3 linked regions of the Pelodiscus sinensis genome follow. The protein of the gene in region 1 interacts with the protein of each later gene in a pairwise test. Links are inferred from orthologs where the notes say so. Each region holds a gene or a part of one and is shown in the gene's direction. Other genes may lie near its edges.

Evidence for each region.
Region 2: the proteins of RBFOX2 (region 1) and RBM42 interact in a two-hybrid assay, tested with the Homo sapiens proteins (2 studies listed by BioGRID and IntAct). The link is inferred for Pelodiscus sinensis from reciprocal best matches to the Homo sapiens genes RBFOX2 and RBM42.
Region 3: the proteins of RBFOX2 (region 1) and HMGA1 interact in a two-hybrid assay, tested with the Homo sapiens proteins (2 studies listed by BioGRID and IntAct, with this or other methods). The link is inferred for Pelodiscus sinensis from reciprocal best matches to the Homo sapiens genes RBFOX2 and HMGA1.

Annotation. Positions count from the first base shown.
Region 1 is NC_134711.1:93,540,668-93,548,314, forward strand, and holds the start of RBFOX2 (RNA binding protein fox-1 homolog 2), read left to right. Parts: upstream 1-4,636; 5' UTR 4,637-4,875; coding exon 4,876-5,064; intron 5,065-7,647. UniProt on the Homo sapiens protein: RNA-binding protein that regulates alternative splicing events by binding to 5'-UGCAUGU-3' elements. Prevents binding of U2AF2 to the 3'-splice site.
Region 2 is NC_134734.1:4,920,417-4,927,445, forward strand, and holds the start of RBM42 (RNA-binding protein 42), read left to right. Parts: upstream 1-4,028; 5' UTR 4,029-4,103; coding exon 4,104-4,252; intron 4,253-5,645; coding exon 5,646-5,799; intron 5,800-7,029. UniProt on the Homo sapiens protein: Binds (via the RRM domain) to the 3'-untranslated region (UTR) of CDKN1A mRNA.
Region 3 is NC_134737.1:11,423,605-11,430,726, forward strand, and holds the start of HMGA1 (high mobility group protein HMG-I/HMG-Y), read left to right. Parts: upstream 1-4,121; 5' UTR 4,122-4,140; coding exon 4,141-4,262; intron 4,263-5,783; exon of another isoform or gene 5,784-5,857; intron 5,858-7,122. UniProt on the Homo sapiens protein: HMG-I/Y bind preferentially to the minor groove of A+T rich regions in double-stranded DNA. It is suggested that these proteins could function in nucleosome phasing and in the 3'-end processing of mRNA transcripts.

The DNA of each region.
Region 1 (7,647 bases):
GATCAGCAGCTGATTCCAGGAAGCCCCGGGCAGAGCAACTCTGCCTGGGGCTTCCTGTAGTCAGCGCTGGTCAGTTTCAGCAGAAGCTGACTTGGGGACGCCTGGGGCAGAGCAGCTGGGGTGCTGCTGGGTTGCTCCAGTAGCGCCGCTCCTGGGTGCTACTGGACCAACCTAGCAGCACCCCATCTGCTCTGCCCCAGGCGTCCTGATTCAGCCGCTGCTGAAACTGACCAGCAGCGGCTGAATCAGGACCTGGGGCAGAGCAGCTGGGGTGCTGCCGGGTTGGTCCAGTAGTGCCCAGAGCGGGCGCTGCAGGACCAATCGGCAGCGCCCCAGCTGCTCTGCCCCAGAGTCCAAAACAAAAGCCTGGTCTGCTGGGGGGGGGGGGAGCACACTAGCTGCCCCCCCCCCCCAGCAGACCAGAGACACGGGGAGCAGAGCCTCTGAGGCTTTGCTCTGGCAAAGCCTCAGAGGCGAGGGACCCCGCCGCGGCTGCGGCTTCAGTCCGGGAGCCTGTGGTCTGCTGGGGACGGTCCCCAGCAGACCACAGGCTCCCGGACTAAAGCCGCAGCCGTGGGGGGGTCCCGCGCCTCTGAGGCTTTGCCAGAGCAAAGCCTCAGAGGCGCGGGGAACCGCCGCTGCTGCCGCTTCAATCTGGGTGCCTGTGGTCTGCTGGGGACCGTCCCCAGCAGACCACAGGCACCCAGATTGAAGCGGCAGCAGCGGTGGTTCCCCGCGCCTCTGAGGCTTTGCTCTGGCAAGGCCTCAGAAGCGCGGGAACCCGCCCGGTGCCCCTGGTCTGCTGGAGACGGTCTCCAGCAGACCAGGGGCACCGGAGCAGCTTACGAACAGGGCTTTCTCGCCCCGACTTCCGGGGCGAGAAAGCCCCGTTCGTAAGTGCGGATCCGACGTAAGTCGGATCCGCGTAAGTCGGGGACTGCCTGTATTGGATAGGTCCAACATAGGTTTTTTCCCTTTCCTCTGAAGCAGTGGTTTTCAAACTTTTTCTTATGACCCAACTGAAGAAAATTGTTGATGCCTGCAACCCAACATAATTTGACCAGAGTGTAAAAGGGGGCTCCGGCTTGCGGGGGGGAGGGTATCAGAGCTGGAGTAAGAGGGGCTTACCTTAAGCAGCTCCTGACCAGTGATGCAGCAGGGGTGCTAAGGCAGCTTCCTGCCTCTCTTGCCACCACAGACCATGCTGCGCCCCAGAAGCAACCAGCAGCAGGTTCCCAGCCAATGGGAGTGCGGAGCTAGTGCTCAGGTCAGGGGCAGTGCACAGAACATTGTGTGCTCTCCCCCCACCACCTAGGAGCTGGGCCTGCAGCTGGCTGCTTCTGAGGTACAGGTAGCTGCCATAGCACCCTCACTGATCACTTGATCCCCCTGCAGCAACCAGACCCAGTGCCTGACATTCTACGATCCAGTACTGGGTCATGACCCATAGTTTGAAAACCACTGCTCTGAAGCATCAAGGGGGGATTACTGTCAGAGGTGGGATGATCAGCCAGATGGAACAATGACCTGTTCCTATGTAACAACTTCAGATACCGAAATATAAAGAAGACTAATTCTGTGGTTTACACTGGTCTCTAATTGAGAATTTATCAAATAGCATACAAAATATGGGGCAAATTCTGGCCTCACCCAATAAACAAACAACAACAACAACAAAACAATACCTTTCATGTAGACAAGGCCTAAGGGCTAGGCCACACTGGAAAGTTATACCATTAAAAGCTAAGGTGATAATTAAAACTAAAAAATTTATTCCAGTACAAATCCCTGTATGGACACTTATCTCAGTGCAAGGATATGTCTACACTACACCAGCACACCTGTGCTTTAGTAGTGTAGATAATCCTACATGAATAGATGCTTTTTCCTGTTGGTGTAGTTAATGCCTCTCTCTAGGAGGTGGGAACTACATTGATGAAGAATTCAAGCTGCATCTACAGTGACCTGCCCACATTGCATTGGGCATGACATTTTTCACTGTCCTGAGCTAGGTAGCTAGACTGATTGAATTTTTAAGAGTAGAAGGCCTACTGGTACTTTGTTTTCAATTTAGCTTATGTTACTTCGGAAAGGCTTTCAGATAAACCAGAAAAAGCTACTCTTAAACTGGAATAAGAGTGTCCACACAAGGAGTTGTGCTGGTATAATTATACTGATTTAATTGTATTGGTAAAATTATACCAGTATAACCGGTAAAACTGTCCTGTGTCAGTTTTGAGGACTGTACTTGATTTGGTGACTCTGTCTCTCTTCTGATTGGTTTTGTGAGAAACAATCCCATTCCAGGCACGTGCCATTTTCCTGGCGCAACCAAATCCTTACATTGTTTTAAGTTATGATAAGAGGAAGCTGGTATATTGAATTTGGTGGTTCTAGCTCAGGTGTGGACAAGATATGGCCCATGCACCAGATCAAGCCTGCAGCCTACCCTACCGGGACCTTCAGGCACGTTCCCTGCTTGTCACAGACCCAAGCTCAAAGTCACTAGCTGTTCCCTACATGTGCCTCTCTGCACTACGCAACTGGGGGAGGAGAGGAGGAGGAAGACTTTGCATGCTGCCTTCCCAGCCCAATCATAGCAGCTCCTAGAATCAGCATCTGGCACCCCACCCCTTCCGGCACCCCATCCCTTCCCGCACCCAGGGCCAGCCAGAGCCATTTTGGCGCCCTGGGCCCGGGCGCGCGGCACTGCCCCCAGGAGCATGGCGTATGTGCAGGCCCGCCCCCGGGGCGTACGGCTGCATGCACGCAGCCCGGCGTCTGCCCCTGGGGCGCATGCGCTGCCCAGCCCGGCCCAGCCACTGCTGCTGGCACGCAGCCCAGGGCGGGCCGCGCCTGGCCATGCAGGGCCCCACAGCTGTGGGGGAAAGGGTGCTACTGGCTGGCGCCAGGGGGATGGGGGGCTGGTGCGCTGTGGGACGCCGCGTGCCCCTTACAGCTGCCATCAGGCGCCCCCATCAGTTGGCACCCCGGGCAGCTGCCTGGCTTGCTCACCCCCTAGTCCGGCCCCGCCTACACCCTCACTCCCTGCCCCAGGTCACTGCAAAAACCCTCTGCACTCCCATTCCCCAGGTCACAGCTCCCCCTCCAACCCTGCACTCTCTCTTGCACACCAATCTCCCCCTCCAACCCTCTGCACTCCCATTCCCCAGGTCACCACCCAAATCCTCAGCACCTACTTTCCCCGTTTCAGGTCACAACTCCCTCCCAGACCCTCTGTCTCTTCCTAACCCCTCCCTCTCCAAGCCAGAATCCTCTCCTGCACTCATGCTCTCTCCAACACTGAATCCCAACCCCCTACCCCAGGTCACAACCCCCTCCTTCACCCAAACTTTCTCTCAGATCCCACACCCTCTCCTGCACCCTAATACCCTACCCCATGCTCCCTTCTGCACTCAGTCTCCATCCCAGACCCCACTCCCTTCATTGAAATGCAGCCCATGGCCACTTACCAAAATCTTGGAGTGCTCCCCCTCAGAAAGTATTGCCTACTCCTGTCCTAGCTCTTGGGCTGCGTCTAGATCGGCATGATTTTCAGAAATGCTTTTAACGGAAAAGTTTTCCGTTAAAGGCATTTTCGGAACAGAGCATCTAGATTGGCACGGACGCTTTTCCGCAAAAGCACTTTTTGCGGAAAAGCATCCATGCCAATCTAGATGCACTTTTCCGCAAAAAAGCCCCGAAAACAAATCTGAGCTGTCTACACTGGCCCTTTTGCGCAAAAGCTTTGCGCAAAAGGACTTTTGCCTGAACGGGAGCAGCATAGTATTTCCACAAGAAGCACTGATTTCAGACAGTAGGAAGTCAGTGCTTTTGCGGAAATTCAAGCGGCCAGTGTAGACAGCTGGCAAATTTTTCTGGAAAAGCGGCTGATTTTCCGGAAAAGCTGGCCAGTCTAGACACAGCCCTCCTGTTTAGGAGGAGATCTTGAAACCACCTCTCTAAAATATAGAGTAGATTAAGTTGAGAATTTGCCCTCACCTGCAGCGCTGGCTGCGTTCACTTTGTCTCCACAAGGATGTAGCAGATAGGGGGAGATTTGCAAGCCAGGCAGTGAAAAGGATTAGAGCCCCAGAAAGCTCATGTGAGAAGAGAGAGCGGCCAGCTTGTGGCTGCATAGCGCTGCCAGCAGGCATGCCAACACTCCACATGCCAGTGAATAAGCGGGCACGCACTGGGGGCGCCTGTTTCTCATACCTAGAGCCCGACGTGCAGCAGACAAGCCAGGAGGTGAAAAGGCGTCGCGTTTAATGCTCCCCTCACCACCGGGCAGCTAAGGCAGGCGCGGATCCGCTCGAGTGAGCGGGGGCAGGGAGCACCAAGCACAGCAGGGCGCGCGTGCCCGGGCTGGGGACGCAAGAGCCCCTCCCCTTCCCACCCGCTCTCCTTCTCCGGGCAGGCAGGCTCCAAGTACCCACCACCCCGCGCGTGGCCCCGCCCTCCCTGATTCCCGAAGGTTGCCGAGGCTCCGCCCCTCCCTCATTCCCGAAGGTTGCCGAGGCCCCGCCCCTCCCTCATTCCCGAAGGTTGCCGAGCGGGGTCGCGCTGCCTCGGCTCCCTAGCTGGCGTGTCCGGAGATAGCCGAGGAGCTCCGGCCCCTCCCCCCCCCCCGTCCCCGGCTGCCGCCGCCACCGCCTCCTCCCCTGTGGCCGGCCCGAGTCAGTGCCCAGTAGGTTGGTGGAGCGGCCGCTGCGGGACGGACTCTGCTGCTCCCGCGACGCGCTCTCTCGTCCCGCCGGCCCCGGGCCCGCAGCGCCACCGGGCGATCGCGCCAGGCGGGGACCCTCTCGCCCGTGTGCGGCTGCGGCGGCGGCTCCCCCAGGGGACGCGGGGCGGCCGGGGGGTCGGGCTCGGATGGCGGAGGGGACCCAGCCCCAGCAGCAGCAGCAGCAGCAACAGCTCGTCCCCGGCGGCGAAGCCCCCCGGGGCGTGAAGCGGGAGCCGGAGCAGGAGCAGCCCATGCCCGGAGGGGACGGCGCCGAGGCTGGCCACAGCAAGCGGCTGAGGACGGAGGCGGAGGCGGGCGGCGGCGGCGGCATGCAGGTAGCGGGGCCCCGGGCCCAGCGGGCAGGCTGCGCTGGGGGGCCGCGACCGGGGGGCGGTGTAGGCTGGGGGGCGCCCCCCCCCGCGCTGCCTGCGGACACGTAGCCGGGATGTGGGGCGCCGAGACCCTCGCTTCGAGGAGCGGTGGGGTCCGCGGGGCGGGGGGGAGCAGGGGCGCCGGGCCGCGGGGAGCGGCGCGAAAAGGGGAAAGCGGCTGGCCAGGTAGCGACCCAGCGGGAGGGTTGAGAGCAGCTCTGGAGCAGCGGGGCGCTGGCCTACAGGGATGGGGCAGTCTCCTGCGGCCGTAGGCTGAGATCGGAGCGGGATGTGGGATTTATTTGGGGGGGGGGTCAATTCCCCACCCGCAGCTTGGTGGTCCCATTGGTAGCAGAAATGAAGCCCGTGTTCCGAGAGGGGTTTTCGTCCTTCCTTGTCCCAGCGCCGAGCAAATCCACGAAGTTACTGTTTCTAAGGGGAAGACCGTGCTAATTCTGGAGAATGACCCTGAGGATTTCAGCTGTTTGATCAAAAGGACCGTTTTTAAGCTGTTGTATTTGCCAGTACTTTCTTAAATCACGTGGCTTATTTTTTTTTAATTAAAATTCCTTTAAAAACAAATTCTGCAATTTTTTCACTTGGTTGTGTCCCGCCACCCAGTTGACAATTGTAAGGGTCTCCTCAGTAATGGAGAAACTGATGGGGCAATACAAGAGGTATTATGAAACTGACCACATACAAAGTGATTTTAAATGCTCAGTGTAAAACTGAAGTAAAAATAGGTGTTTTTTGCTAATTGATTTAATAGTAATCTGAGGTATTATAATTAGTGAAGGTATACAGTATTCAGACTGTCTTTTACTGTTCTGTTCGCCAATTTATTAAAAAAGCACAATCTTGAAAATAGATCATTCTGCCCCATATTTTGTTTTTTTAAGCACTGACTTTTCCTGTTAAAGGTGTAGTAATGCCTAAAATGACAAAGAATGTTGTAGCATTGTTGGTGTTCAGCATGGGGACTGCCCTTCTTTAACATATTTTCTTTTCCCAGATTACTATGTCTGTTGCACTGACTGGATGCCTATTTCTCTCTTGGGTACCCCAGATTGGTGACAGCTGCTTATTGTGCATTTCCTTTACTGCTTTTTCTTGTTATTTCTTCAGTATTATTCCCCCATTCATTAAAAATGGGAAAAAGCAGAACTCCTATTTTCTATAGTTTACAGCGTGGTAAGAAGCATCATGTGGTTGAAGTATTAAGAGTATGGAGCCAGAGGTGTCTTGGATATCATGAGTGAACAAGGAGGATCTGGTCTGTAACCTTAGAATCTGCTCTCCTATAGATACAGATGGGCATCAGTTTATGAATTCATATGGGCACATGTCATATCAATATACTCTTTTAATTTACTGAGAGTACATTTCTTCTCTTGGCAGTTTTGATCCTATTTGTTTTTCACTGGGCCTTTCATTCCCCCATGGCTGAATATCTCCCTCTGATTGTAGCTTCTGTGTACAGTATCAGAGTCTGTGTAATGGCAGTGCTGCCTTGGGAGATGCTATGGATGGGAGTGGCAAAGGCAAATGGTTCGGCCATCGTGCATATGTTTTACAGATTAATGACACTTAGTCGGATCATGCTCTTGTATGCTTGTAAATAACAACTAGTTTGGAGGTGCAACTGTTAAACGAAAGAGAGGGTATTATGGAGTGTATTTATTTTTCTCTCTGGCTGTATTTTACACAGGGCTCGTCTACACTGGCCCCTTTTCCGGAAGGGGCATGTTAATTTCAGCGATCGCAGTAGGGAAATCCGCGGGGGATTTAAATATCCCCCGCGGCATTTAAATAAAAATGTCCGCCGCTTTTTTCCGGCTTTTAGAAAAGCCGGAAAAGAGCGTCTACACTGGCCCCGATCCTCCGGAAAAAGCGCCCTTTTCCTGAGGCTCTTATTCCTACTTCAAAGTAGGAATAAGATCCTCCGGAAAAGGGCGCTTTTTCCGGAGGATCGGGGCCAGTGTAGACGCTATTTTCCGGCTTTTCTAAAAGCCGGAAAAAAGCGGCGGACATTTTTATTTAAATGCCGCGGGGGATATTTAAATCCCCCGCGGATTTCCCTACTGCGATCGCTGAAATTAACATGCCCCTTCCGGAAAAGGGGCCAGTGTAGACGTAGCCACAGTGTTTTTCTGCTAGAGGTAAGCAGTTGGTCTCAGTGCTTCTTTCTGCTGTTTCTTGCACTGAATGTGCTGGAGCTCTTTGAAAACAATGAGATTAATTCATCGTGTGGTTTCTACTTTCACTCCTGCTTGGGTTTGTGGTTCTTAATAGTCTCTGAAGGGAGGGACATTTGTGTCCCATGGAAGTGTTTCCCCCACTATGTTGCATTAGTCTGGCGCTCTCCTGTGTGTGGCCCTTCCTGGTTGTTTTCTCTGCCACATCCCTCCCACTTCCCATGTTCCACCACACATCCCTCTTTCTCACCCCATTATATCAAAAGAAAGTCATATAGCACTTCAAAGACTAACAAGATGGTTTATTAGGTGATGAGCTTTCGTGGGGCAAACCCACCTCTTCAGATCATAT
Region 2 (7,029 bases), on another chromosome or scaffold:
GGAGACACCCCTTACAGCCAGCTCTGCCCCAGCCCTGGAAGTCCGGCTGAAGGGACGCAGCTCCAGAGATGTAAATAACGTAGCTGGAGTCGACATACCTTAAGCTGAGCTTGGCACCATCTTCACAGTGGGAGGTTGATGAGAGCAAAGGCTCCCTCCTGACTGCCAGGAGTACCAGCATCCATGACCAGGGGCGCCCTCAGCGTTTGATTTAGCAGGTCTTTCCTAGACCCGCTAAATCAACCGCCAGAAGATCAATCTCAGGTGCGGCTAGTGGAGTGTGGCCTAAGTGTAGACAAGCCCTGATCCTCTTCTTTATTTTCTCATGGTGCGATGCTCTTGGAATACAAAGTTAGAGAAGTGGGGATGGTGTTTCAAAGTGCAGGTGAACACTAGACCTACAGCCATTTGAACCTCAGAAAAGTATCTGACCCCAAACACACGAGTGGCACGGTCCTTACAATCCCAGGTTTTGTTAAATGACAAGGAACGTTCTACACGGCTGGTTCAATGCCAAGGGAGGTGCAGACGTGCAAAACAACCTAGCAGAGGAGCGAGGAAAGATGATCCCAGGACACAAGAGCAGAAACTAACCTGCCATCACCAGAGTCACACAAGCCACGAAGTCTCTGTCCAGGCTGGTTAGAATCCGACATTCTCCTTCTAGCCATTTACTCATGTTCGCAGCAAAGCCGCCCGGGGAGAGGGACATGGAGCCTTTGTAGGTATTATTGAGGCAGTTTGCCTTTCCGTCCCTTAGCACCATGATATCACGGAGTGAGTGCACAGTTTGCCTGCTGACGGAGACTCCACATGCTCTTGGGTAGTCAATTGGGACAAACACACGAGCGCCCTCAGGTGAGACGCAGTGATATGCAGGGCAGATTTCTATAAGAAAAAAATTGCAAAGTGCCAGTTAGTACGGGAGTTGCCACCGATGTCAGCTCAGTGCCCCCTTTCCTTCCCCCTCCCCTGTGCCGCTGGCTCACAGCCACCCCCTGGACTGCAATGAAGGGAGCCAGCCTCTTGGGTCCTACTAGCCTGTTTCCTGGCACTGTTAGCCCTTCACAGAAATTGAGCCCCTCGGCCCATCTGCCTGAGGCCCTCAAAGTCAGCACTGCCCCAGCGATGGGCAACCTCGGCTAGTGAGTGGGCCATGTTAGCAGCCTCCTTCAGCTCAGTAGCTGCAAGACTGTGGGAGCCCAGGCGGTCTCCCTGGGTAGGGTAGAGTTGCTGTCCGCGCTTGCGCACCTTGGATTAGCGGGTGAGCTGACGGAGCAGTCACAGCGTGTGGACTGGCTGCAGAGCGAGCGCACGGCTCCCCCCCCCCCCCCCCCCCGTCAGTGCTGGTGCAATCCGTGCGCCCCTCGCACCACGGGCCGTTTAGGTGAGCGTCACTTTAGTAACAAAAACACTTGTGTGGGCGGAAAGCAGCGGAATCTGGCAACTCTGGCCATGGGCAAGGGGAAACAAAATGTCTCGCAGGCCACACCTAGAACCCCAATGGGCCATATGCAGCCCTCAGGCCACAGCCCGTATGCAGCTCACCACTGCCCCAGTAAAGAGGTGGGGTGGGTTCTGGAGAGGCCTAGGAGATATGGCGTTCGCCTGGGGACACAAGGTGGTGGAATCGTCTGGCAATTACAGATGAGTAAGTCTAACATCAGTACCAGGCAAATTAGATGAAACTATAGTGAAGATGAATATAATTTGTTAGGGGAAAGTCAACATGGTTTCTGTAAAAGGAAATCATGCCTTACTAATCTGCTAGAGTTCTTTGAGAGGGGCAACAAACATGTGGACAAGATTGGATCCAGTGGATATAGTGTACTTAGATTTCCAGAAAGCCTTTGACAAAGTCCCTCACCAAAGACTCTTAAGTAAAGTAAGTTATCATGGCGTAAGAGGGAAGGTCCTTTCATGGACTGATAACTGGTTAAAAGACAGGAAACAAAGGGTAGGAATAAATGGTCAGTTTTCTGAGTGGAGAGAGGTAACTACTAGGGTTATCTCATCCTGCTTTCTAACTATGGATGCCACCCCGCTGTCCCCAAGTGAATGCCCTATCTCCTAGACCACTCTAGAAACCACCCCTCCTGCTCTGAGCTTTCTGCTGGTCCTTCATCCTGCTTGGGTGCAACCACTCTGCTCATGCCTTATCTCCTAATCCACACCAGAACCTATCCCACCTCCCTACCTTTTGCAGGTCCCTAATCCTGCATTTGGACTGCAGGTGCCAGCTCCATCACTGGGGCAATCTGTGTTAACAGTTCCTCAGGTAGGTAGGTGGTACTTGAATTCACCACTCTAGGTGAATGCACACATTGCTATGCCACTCCAGAATCCACCTTAACACCCTTCCTTCTTTGGGTCCCTTATCCTGGTTTCTAAATGCAGGAGCCAGGTCTATGTCTCTAGCATCCTTTGTTTGCTGTCCAGCTGCCCCCAGAGTGGGCAAAAGTGGGACTTCAATCCACCACCCTGCTCTCCCCAGGCAAATGCCCTAGCCCCTAAACCACTTCAGAACTTCCCCAGTTCCCTACTTTCAGGGTGTCCCCTCCCCCATGCCAAACCCTGTGGCCCAAGACCAAAGTCTGCACCCCAACCCCCCACTCCAACCTGGTGAAAGTGATTGAGATTCCAGGAGGAAGGTGGAGGGAGCGAGGGCGGAGGGAGGGTGAGGCCTCAGAGAGGTGGGCAAGGAAGTGGGCAAGGGTATTTGTGTTTGAGGTAGATCTTACATTGCACTTAAATTGAAAAAGTGATTTTGTGTTTAAAAAGGTTGGAGACCACTGATGCAGATCATCCCTGACCGGTGTCTCTCTAACTTGCTCTTAAATATCTCCAGTGATGGAGATTGGACAACCACCCTAAGCAATTTATTCCAGTGTTTCACCACTCTGACAGCCAGGGAGTTTTTCCTGATGTGCAACCTAAACCTCCTTTGCTGCAATTCAAGCCCATTGCTTCTTGATCTCAGAGGCCAAGGAGAACAAGATTTCTCTCTTCTCCTTGTAACGCCCTTTCTGAAACTTGGACACCGCTCTCGCCCCCTCTCCGCCGTCTCTTTTCCAAACTAAACACTCTGGATTCTTCCAGCCCCGCCTCCTAGCTCCTGTTCTCCAGACTGCGCATCAGTCTGTTGCTCCTCTGGACCGTCTCCCACCGCTCCACGGCTACGTCTAGACTGGCATGAATTTCCAAAAATGCTTTTAACGGAAAAGTTTTCAGTTAAAAGCATTTTCGGAAAAGTGCGTCTAGATTGGCAGGGTGATTTTCCGCAAAAGCACTTTTTGTGGAAAAGCGTCTGTGGCCAATCTAGACGCGCTTTTCCGCAAAAAAGCTCCGATCGCCATTTTCGCCATCAGGGCTTTTTTGCGGAAAACAGTACTGTGCTGTCTACACTGGCCCTTTTGCGCAAAAGTCTTTCGGAAAAAGACTTTTGCCCGAGCGGGAGCAGCACAGTATTTCCATAAGATCACTGACAATCTTACATGAGATCGTCAGTGCTTTTCCGGAAATCCAAGGGCCAGTGTAGGCAGCTGGCAAGTTTTTCTGGAAAAGCGGCTGATTTTCCGGAAAAACTTGCCAGTCTAGACACAGCCCACGTGTTTCCCGACACTGGCCTGGGAGACTCCAACAGGGGCGGAGCCTGGGAGGGGAGGGGCCACGTGGGCGGGCGGGGCCAATTTGGGCGCAGTGGGAGGGCTGGGCAATGGGGAGGGAGAGGCGGGGCCAGTGTTTGGGGCGGGGCCAGAGCAGGGGCGGGGTCCTGCGGGACTCGCCGCTCTACTCGGCGTAGGAGACGGAAAATGAATTAGAATCACGTGCCCCGGGCAAAGGCCAATGGGAGCCCTGCCTTCTCGGCCCCGTCCCACGTGAGACATGCAAGCCACGCCCCCTTCCCGCTAGGAAGGTTTCCCGTGCGCCCCGCCCTTCTGTTACGCCATAAGATCGCGCCGGAAATGATGAGAGACAACTTCCACAGTGGTGTTTAACTTCCGGCTCCGCGCCGGAAGCCTCCTTACGTCATCACCGGCCCGCCGGAAGCGGGTGCGTCGGGCCGCAGCGCGGAGCGGCGGAGGCTGAGTCCAGACCCCGCCATGGCGGCTCCGCCTGCCCCGCCCCCCGCCGGGGGGGCTCCGGCCCCGGCACCCGCCCCGGCACCCGGCCCCGCCGGGGGAGCCGCGGCTGCGGGGGGCGCCAAGAGCGGGGAGGAGCGACTGAAAGAGATGGAGGCGGAGATGGCGCTGTGAGCGCGGGGGGGGGGGGGGAGTTTAGGGGGAGTCTGAGGGCGGGGATCTGGTCCCTGGTTTCAGGAAAAGAGGAGCCTGCAGGCTCCAGGGGCTGGGAGGGATCAAGAGCAGGTGGGGGGAGAGGGGGGAGCTGGAGCATGGACGGGAGGATCCGTGGAGATCCCCGGCTAAAAGGGAGGAGGGAGCCCATGGGTGGGGAGAGACGCAAGGGGAGACCTAGGGGGTGGCTCAACCAAGCTAGGGCAAAAGACTGAGACCCCTGGGGGGGGGGGAGTGACGTGGAGCAGGTGGAAGGAGGATGAAAAGGTTGTGGAGGAGCTGATGGGAATGGGCCGGTTCAGATGAGGAATTAAAGCTGGTGCATAGCCCAGAACAGAGAATTCTGGAGGGAGAAGGAGAAAGGGACTGTGGTGTTATAGGTCAGTAGATATTTGAGCAGTGGAGTGTTCTGGAGGGAGACTGAAGGTCAAAAGGATGGAAATCTTTCAGTGGGTGCAAGAGTGTAGGATGGGGTAGGCAATATTTTGTATGGGGAGGGGGGGCACTCCAAGATTTTGGAAAGTGGTCATGGGCTGTACTCTTCCATGATATTAATGGAGGAGGTGCAGGGGCTGGGATGGAGGCTGGGTGGAGCAGGGATTGGGGTGCAGAAGGGAGAATGGAGGCTGGGAGGGAGATTGGGTAAAGGCAGTCATTGTGACCTAGGTCAGGGGACTAGAGTTTGGGAAGTGACCTATGTTAGGACGGGATTGTGATCTGGGTCAGGAGACTGAGGTGCCAGATCTGGGAGGGGGTATGGATGCAAAAGGGAGGCAGAGGATTTGGGTATGTTGACTGGGTGGGGCAGAGGATTGGGGAAGATGGGAGCTGGAGTGCCAGAGGCAGGTTCTGGCCAGGAGACTTACCAGCCAGCAGCCAAACCTGCCTGCCTGCCCAGCCATGTGCTTTTGTGGCTAACTGAGCCAAGAAGGGTGGGGGGAGGGGGTTCTTCTTGGCTGCCTGTTATTCAAATAGCTCCTGAAGCTTTCCTCCATCCCCTCCAGTTTTTAAAAAAAAACAGGACTCAGCAGCCATTTTTCTGAGTGGCATGCAGGGGCAAGCAGGGGAGCCTGCCTGGAGCTCCTCATTGGCTGAATTTTGCCCAGGCCTAGTATAGGAGCCATAGGAGTCCTTGGGGGTGTTTGGAAGGGTGATGGGGAGCCTTTTCCGGGAGGGAATGGAGAGCTGGGTGGAAGAGGGCTGGAGGTGGGCAGATACCAGGGCAAAGCAGTAAAAGATCCTGAATTGAAGAAGGAATGGACCTTGCATCAGGAGGGAGACGTGGGGTCTCGGGGCCCTGAGATGATGGTGGGGAAACTTCAACACGCTTCCATTTCTCACACTGTACAGGTTTGAGCAGGAGGTGCTGGGGGCCCCTGTTTCCCTCCCTCCTGGGGCTCCAGTGGTTGAGGCTGTTCCAGTAGCTCTGGCAGTGCCAGCTGTGCCCGCGGTGCCCCCAGTCCCAGTGATCCGGCCCATTATTGCCACCAACACCTACCAGCAGGTAAGGCACTGACTTGTCCCTCACCAAAGGCCATGAGCAGCACAGGGGTGGTGCTGGGTGCAGCTGCTGTTTGTTGCGCAGAAATGCAATGAGAGAATGTAGTTGGTGGCAGCCAAGAGATTAAAAAACAGATTCCCTGGGCACATGCTGGCCACAGCCATGACTTGGGCTCTCTGTGACTCCACTCTCCCCGTCCCCCATCTATACCCTGCCGCCACTGCTGCATGTCCATCTTGCCTGCTCAGGGGTAAGTGGTGACACCCCTCACTAGGGAATGAGTGATCCCCTCCTCCTGCTTATTATATGTACATATGCCCACCCAAAGTATCTTTTCCTCCAGGTTAGTAAATCAACGTAATGGCGTCTCTCATTGACCTCGGGGGACAGGCTGTGCATGTGTCTTTCTCCCACATTGGCTTTTTGCGGGCTGTGCTTGTAGGTTGCTTTGTTAGTGGTGGAGTAAATTGTGGCGGAAATGTCATGAAATGCAAAACACCTTTCTCCATTGTGACATTCCCTTATTTGTGTTGCAGTAGCTCCTACAGCCCTATTCATTACTAGGCTGGGAAGGAATTGATTTTTTTTGAGATGTCAATTTTACTTGCAAATGCTGAAAAGATTTTTCCATGCATGATAGTCAAAATTTACATTCAAAGTAAGCAAAATTAGCTTGACAACTTATTTGATTTAAGGTCGTTTACTTTGCATATTTTGAAATGTGATGTTAACAGGTTGTGTTTTAACTGTTATAAACTTATAACTTTTTGAATCTCAGCATCTACTGTTGGTAAATAAATGTCCGACTTCTGATAATTTCCTGCAACTGTGGAAATTTAAATGGATAAATTGTGTGTGTGTCGGGGGGGATCAATATTAGTATCATAACTGTTTTAAAAAAAATCAAATTCTGCCATGTGTGCAGGGCTTCTCCTAGGTGCTGTACAAATACACAATGAAACAGACATTCCTTCCCCAGGAGATTTAAAATTGTTTGTGTGTGCAACTAGTTGGGAACAAGTGTTCCCAAATAACTTCCGTGTTTGCATGTTCCCAAGTGAATAAAAGTGTTCACATAGGAATAGGTACTGCGCTTTTAAATTCACACCCTTCCTTGGGGGTTTTCAACCTGGGGATCTGCAGACTGTCTAAGCTTTCCAAAGAGGCCTGCATCTCCAGGGTTTTTAGGGGACTGTAAATGAAGAAAAGTTGAAAGCTGTTGCCCTGTCTTGT
Region 3 (7,122 bases), on another chromosome or scaffold:
TTGCCAGCAGATCTAGAGAAGTGATTATTCCCCTTTATTCAGCACTGGTGAAGCCACATCTGGAGTATTGCGTCTAGTATAGATAGGCCCCCCCAATATAGAAAGGATGTGGACGCATTGGAGAGGGTCCAGTGGGGGGTGACCAAAATGATTAGGGGGCTGGAGCATATGACCCATGAAGAGAGGCTGAGGGCTTATTTAGTCTGCAGAAGAGAAGAGTGAAGAGGGATTTGATAGCAGCCTTCAGCTACCTGAAAGGAGGTTCCAAAGAGAACGGAAAGAGGCTGTTCTCAGTAGTGACGGATGACAGAACAAGGAGCAATGGTCTCACGTTGCAGTGGGGGAGGTCTAGGTTGGATATTAGGAAAACCTATTTCCCTATTAGGGTGGGGAAGCACTGGAATGGGTTCCCTAGGGAGGGGGTGGAATCTCCATCCTTAGAGGTTTTTAAGACCCGGCTTGTCAAAGCCCTGGCTGGGATGATTGAGTTGGGGTTGGTCCTGCTTTGGGCAGGAGAAGGGGCTGGACTCGACCTCCTGAGGTCTCTTCCAACCCTGGGATTCTATGATTCTAATAAGGAACCAAATTTTGAAGGCAGCCTTGAAATATAGGGCAAAATCTCTCAGCAAAGGAACTAGACATATGAAAGGAAAACTCCATGAAATGTGACAGAGTTTATTCTCCATTGTCTTACACCTTGCTGGGGTCATTTTGTTTAGGCAATGTGGGTGTCAATCACTGTCCAGCCAAAATGCCAGCATTTTAAAATCACTTAGAATCATAGAGCTGGAAGAGGCCTAAGGAGGTCACCAAGTTGGCACAGGTGGAAATAACACAAGGCAATGAAGATTTAGACCTGTGATTTTATTATTTACTGTTAACTTTTATTTAAAACAAAAAAATAATATGCATCTACCTGTGTTACTAAAACTTTATATTGTAAAAAAGTAGGTTTAAAACAAAAACACATCAGCATGGTTGGTTTGCATCTCACCTCACTTGCACTGCTGTCAACTGAGATGAATCAAGCCCCGATCATGGTGTTTTTCTCTCACACCAGCGTTAATGAGGAATTACTTCACTGAATTCAGTGGCATTACCCACTATAAAACTAGTCTAAGAATTTTTACTTTTTTTTCCATTTATGCCATTTGTGTATTTTTCTATACATTAAAAACAGACTGGTCAGTTTCCCTTTCATTTTTAGTCTGTTTCAAACTTTGCAGCTGCCAGGAATAACAATGTGTGCTTAAATTAAGAACTCACAGGAGAATTTGCAACCACTTTTTCAAAAAGGGACTAATGAAAAAGAAACTTTACTGACTGGGATTTGTGATGGGAATTGTCAAACAAGTCAGAAAGTTAGGCACTCAACTCCCACTGAATAATGAGAGTTCAGTACCTAACTCCTTTAGGTTTCTTCTCAGTGTTCTATGTTCCTAAAGGGTTTATGTACTTTTCAAAATACTATTATATTTTGTATTGCATTCATTCGTAGGAGCTGAAGATATGGACCAATGTTCCACTGTGCTAAGCACTGGGCAAAAATCTTATCCCTCCTATAAAATGGCCTGATTTTCAAAGATACTGAAAATCTCAGCCCTCATCTAGAGCCATAGCTTTGATCCTGCATAAAATTGGCATTGGTGAATCTTTGTGGCCATGCTGAGCTTACTGCAGACCAAGAGCTTGCAAAAGCTGCAGCTACTCCGCAGGTCTGAAAAACCAGCTACTTTGATTTAGGTTCCTAAATCTTAAGTTAGGAATCTAACTTTAGGCACCCAGATTTTAAAACTTTGGCTCCCTGGATGAGTCTTCAGTTTCAGAAGAAAATGACAATGAAACTACTTTTAACTGCAGAGTTTGAAGCCCAAAGTCAGAGGAAGAACTTGGATGGGAAAATGATCCTCAGCAAAAGAGAAACGTTCATTTCCTCATCCAGGTGGGGAGAAATGTAAAACATACACAAAAGGCCATAATGGGGGACAAGTGAATTGGAGTTTAAAAATCCTTTCACTTTTAATAGACTTTGATCTTAGAATAACTTAGGTTAAAAAAAATGGGGGCTGGTGGTTTGTAGCTGACCATGTGGGGCTCGTTTTTCCTGATTACCAGCAGCTAAATCATGTTAAAATAATCTAAAGATACATTAAATAATACATTCCTAATGTCACTTTTCCATGTAAGCAATTACCATAGCTACTACACAGATACTATGCAATGGAGAACATGGGTCAGAGGTGGGCTAGAACAATCACAAATAGGAGGGGAGGTGACAAGACAATCTATTGATATTCAGCCCAGGCTGTGGAAAAGTTCCCTACATTACAGTACAGTGTCCTGATCTTTCATTCACCCACCACTGGTGTAAACCAGGACTTACATAGTCATAGAACAGCACAAGCAGGTCCCAAAAACAGGTCCCACCCTTGCTCACAATCAAAATGACTTCATGCATGTAAAAAGGGGGATTTTTGTAAAAAATTGAGGGTCTAAAGCTGCCTGCAAGCATCGCTCTCAAAAATAATAAATAGCTTCATATCTCAGCCCTTTGCCTGCTACCTATCCCACAGGAACCATACAGAAATCATTTCTCCTTTAAACCAAAGAACAATTGAGGGGCTTTCTTTTACCCTCTTTAAATATTTATGTGTCTAAATGACAACTCTGAAAAACAATTCTCTTCCCCTCTCCTTCATCTTACCAGATTTGTTTTGTTAAAAGGGGGAAGGAGACAGTGGTCCTGGCTGCTCCTGCTGGTTTTTGCTAGTGATGGTTCTTTCTTAGCCATTTTCCACCCACCTTCCAACATTGGCTTTAACCAAGCAGCACTTTTAAATCACCCTTCCCCTCCCCTTCTTTGCATGTTCCCCACCCACTGGTGATGACGTAGCGTCTGCTGAGCTCCACCCTTCCTCAACTAGAAGGGCTTAACACTCCCCTAAGCTTAGCCAGCCTGCCCTTATTTAATTTAGAGTGTGATTTTGCTATTTTTAGTAGCTGGATAGTCCCTCCTGTAAGGCTTGGAGGTTTTTTTTGTTTTTGGTCCCCTTCCTATTTCCCCCTCCCCCCCTCCCCCGTGCAAATGATTTTGACCCAGCTTCCTTCCTCTTGGAACAATTTTTTTTATTTATATAAATAAGAGAGCCCTGGCTGGTCTGTATATGTATGTGAGTGAGTCCCTGCCTTCTTGTTTCAGATCCGCATTTGCAATCAGCAGCAACCAGAAGGGGGGTTGGGGTTTAATTTGATCACAACACAGACTCACAAGGAAAAAAAAACACAACACCACACAGAGCCGAGACCGAGAGCAATTGTGAGTGTCTGGCCTTTTTTTTTTTTTTTTTTTTTTTCGTTTTGATTTGGGTGGAGGAGGTGTGGGGGGGGGGAGTTGATGTTTCTTTTCGTTTTTTTTACCATTTTTTAGTCGAATGTGCAGCTTGGGGGGGGGGCTAAAAAATCATTTTCCAATTGCAAAAAAAAAAAAGTAATTCTGAAGCCTGCTTGTTTGTTTTTAAGAATTTGCAGAGGAAAACAAGCCAGGCATGCGGAATCGATGTGCCCTTTTGCTTTGCTTCGCATCGTGCATTGCAGTATGCCAGGTGGGGGGGGGGGGCTTGCACGGGGCTGGAGGGGGGGGCAGAAACTGCAATGCTGCCTCTCCACCCTGCTTTATTTTTATCCTTAAAGCACCTGCTTTGGGAGCGGGGGGCCTTTCCTCAGCAGGTCTCCGAGCTGATGGATGGAAGCCCCTCCGGAGACCACCCCACCTGGGCGCTGGGGTGGAGCAGCAGTGGCTGGGGGGGGGGACACTAGCTTGCAATCGGCTCCGGGCGGCTGGCGGAGTGTGGCCGCTGCAGGGCTCGGGGGAGGGTGGGTGGCTTTGGCTGAGCTCTCGGTGCTCCTGATCCCCCCCCCCCCCTTCCAGCATTTGCGAGCTTTGCAAATACGCACACTCCGAGCCGGTTTCATTTTCAAATCGCGCGACAGCGCTTTCCTGCCCCTTCGCCGTGTCTTGTGCGCTGCGGCTCTGCCAATAGCGGCCGGAGCCGGCGGGCTGCCTTGTGCCTTGTGCAGCGGGCAGGTAGCGCGCTGGGACGCCCCCTCTCCTGCCCCTTTAAAGGGGCCGGGCCCGAGGCCATGTCTCTTTCCAGCCGCGACCAGACGGGGGTAAAGCCGCTGCGGGGGGGCGTGCGCGGGGGGAGGGCTCCATTTGCCCCTCCGGCTTGTTCCCATTGGGGACCAGAGAGGTGGATGCTAAGGTCGGTGTGTGCCCATGGAGATGGGGTGGTTTTTAGGGGGGGGTGCATGGCTCTCCCCCCCCCCCCCCCGGGAGGAGGGGGCTGGCACACTCTGCAGCGCCGGGGTGCTGAGAGCGATCGAGCTGCGCTGCCAATCTTGTGTGTGGTGGGAAGTACCAGCACCTGGGATCTCCCACGCTTGCCTCCCAGCTGGGGGCCAGGCCGGGTTTCCTGGGGGCTCCAGATAGCCCCCCAGGAAGAGCTCCGCTTCCGCCCCCTCTGGAGGCTGGGGCTGGCCTCAGTGGCAGTCCAAAAGTGGGGAGGGGGGGAACAGACCGTGGCCTGCCCCCGCTGTAAACTTTACCAGGTTTCTTTCCACTCCCGCTCCTTCCTCTTGAGGAGGGGGCCAGCCCTTTCTCCTGGAATCAAGCCCTTCTCCAAATGGGTGGCTTTTATTCTACCCTCCAGGGCTTCTGGTGGTGTCTCTTCCTGTGACCTCTCTCTCCCTCCCCCTTCTCACTTCCTTTTATTGTGCTCATTTAAAAGGATTGGGCTGCTCTCGTACAGCATTGGAATGTTCCTAAAGTTAATAGGGATGGAGTTGCATGCACATCCTGTCCGGTCCTTCCCCCTCCAGCCCTCCTCTATTCCTCAATCAAACAGGTTTTTATTTATGCTATTCCCTTGCTGCTGGCACCACCCTGCTTTGATGGTGTCCCTGCGCGGCTGCTCTGCCTTCTTGCACACGATGAGACTGAGATGTACGCAGGAGATGGGTCTCCACTGGGTCTCCCTTTTTGTGTGTGTGGTTCATCTGGGAGGTGGTGACTGGGCCTTGGATCGGCAGGGCTGGTTGCTTGGAATGGTGCTGTGAAACTGGGCTAGGGTGTGGAGACACGCCGGAGGCTTGTGCGTCCGAAAGAACAGCCGGAGTATCAGGTCCCTTCCTCAGGTGTCAGCCAGCCAGCTGCGTGTGTCTGCTGTGCTTTCGCTTCCTGCCCGCGGGGTTCAGGGCACAGCAAGACAGCCATGTGACCTGACTAGCTCCTCCTGCACCACTGACTGCTTCTCTTCGTAAGCCAGAGGCCTGGTCTACACCTAAAGCTTAGGTCGACCTGTGTCCCTGGGGGGCTGTGAAAAACTTCATGCCCTGAGCACTGTGTGTGGTTAGGTGAACCTAACCCCGGGTGTGGAGGTGGACAATGACAGAAGGACTCATCCCTCCACCTAGCTATTGTGGATTAATTAAGATGATGCCACAAAAATCTTCCATCTACGCCACGGCACTACAGTGGCATGGCTATTGTGTAGACCTGGCCTAGACAGGGAAGAGACCTATGACATCCCTGCACAGATATCCGCAGTTTCCCAGTGCCCCATAATGCTGCACTGAGGTTGCCTATCAGAGCTGCTGCAAAAACTGGAAGGGGTTTAGCCCAGAGAAGCTGCAAATCTATTCATGCAGCTTCCTGGATGCTGGGTAGGACCATCTACAAAAGGATTTGTGTTTCTAGCCTACTTCCTGGCTCTCTTTTCCTGCAGGGTAACACAGCTCTGCCAAAAACCTCGCTACTGGCTCAAAATGGGGAGATGGGACCCTGAATTAGCACAGTGGGGTGAGTCCTGCCCCATGCAGCTGCTGGAGAGGGGTTTCTCTGTGGGGCAGAGGGAAGTATGTTGTGAGTCCAAAGCTCTGCATGGCCAGATTTTCAGAGACAGATGCTCAAAGGATGTATCACCTCTGAGAAGCATCCTGGCTTGGAAGGTACCCAAGTGACCATGAATTTAACTTTTAAAAACAAACCAAAACATTAGGGCTGAGCGAGAGAATCCTTGAATAGCTTTTGGCTGTAGTGAGTAATGCATAGGGGTGTTTACATGAGGCTGCGGCTTCTGAGGTTTACTAACTCGTGAGTCACTTCCACAACTGAACATGAGCCCATATGCACTTTTTTTAAAAAACCTAGAAGGCCTGTGCATTCAGGATGCGTGTGTGGTTTCCTTGGGCTTTGATCCCACTATGCAACTTGTTTAGGAATCTGAACTTCCCATTTTGGGCTGTAGCAGTGAAGCCCTGGCGAGGAAGGCTGCATGGATGTCACGACGGGGTGAATTGTGCTGGTGTGAATTGGAGCAAAACTACCCATTGCTGAGGGTAGCCCTCTGTAAAGGGGACCCTGTGTGGTTGCTACAGCTGAGAGAGTAAATGGAACTGAAGCATCTTCAAAACCATTGTGTCTTGTTAGCGCTGCAAAGGCATTGCTAGAGATTTAATCTCTCTGCACAACCGCTTTCAGTGCTAATTAAATGGGCTCCCTGTTTTCCTGGGGGGTTGCGATCAGGTTCCAGGGGGAGGTTGCAAACCTCCTCTTTCTTTATAGCTAGGAGGAAGGTCCTGAAACACTTCTACTGCTGTAAGTTGATGGAATGGGGTCAGATCAGTTTGGAGAAGGTAGAAAACCACTGCCCAAGTACAATGGTCCAGAAGACACACACATGTGATACTTACAGTATATCTGTGCTGCAATTCCAGGACACGACTGCAGCTTATGTTGATGTACCAGAGCTACTTTTAATCTGCTTTTAGCACGTGGATTTGGCGCCGTGAAGTCGCAGTACCACAGGCTGACCACCTCAAGTAATTGATCTGGGTTCTAGGCAGCCTCATATAGCCCATGCCCCTGCTGCTTGGATTAAAGCTAGCTGAAGTATGTATAGGTGAGCTGCATTAGCACCCTGGGACTCACTGAACTACAGGAGGCCTTGCAGAACTGGGACCAAACCAAGAAACGTTGCACCCAAATCTTTAGGAGAAAAAATTGGGAGCAAATTGTGAAGACCTCTATTAAAAAATGCCAGGGTGGTGGTGCCCATTTGGTCA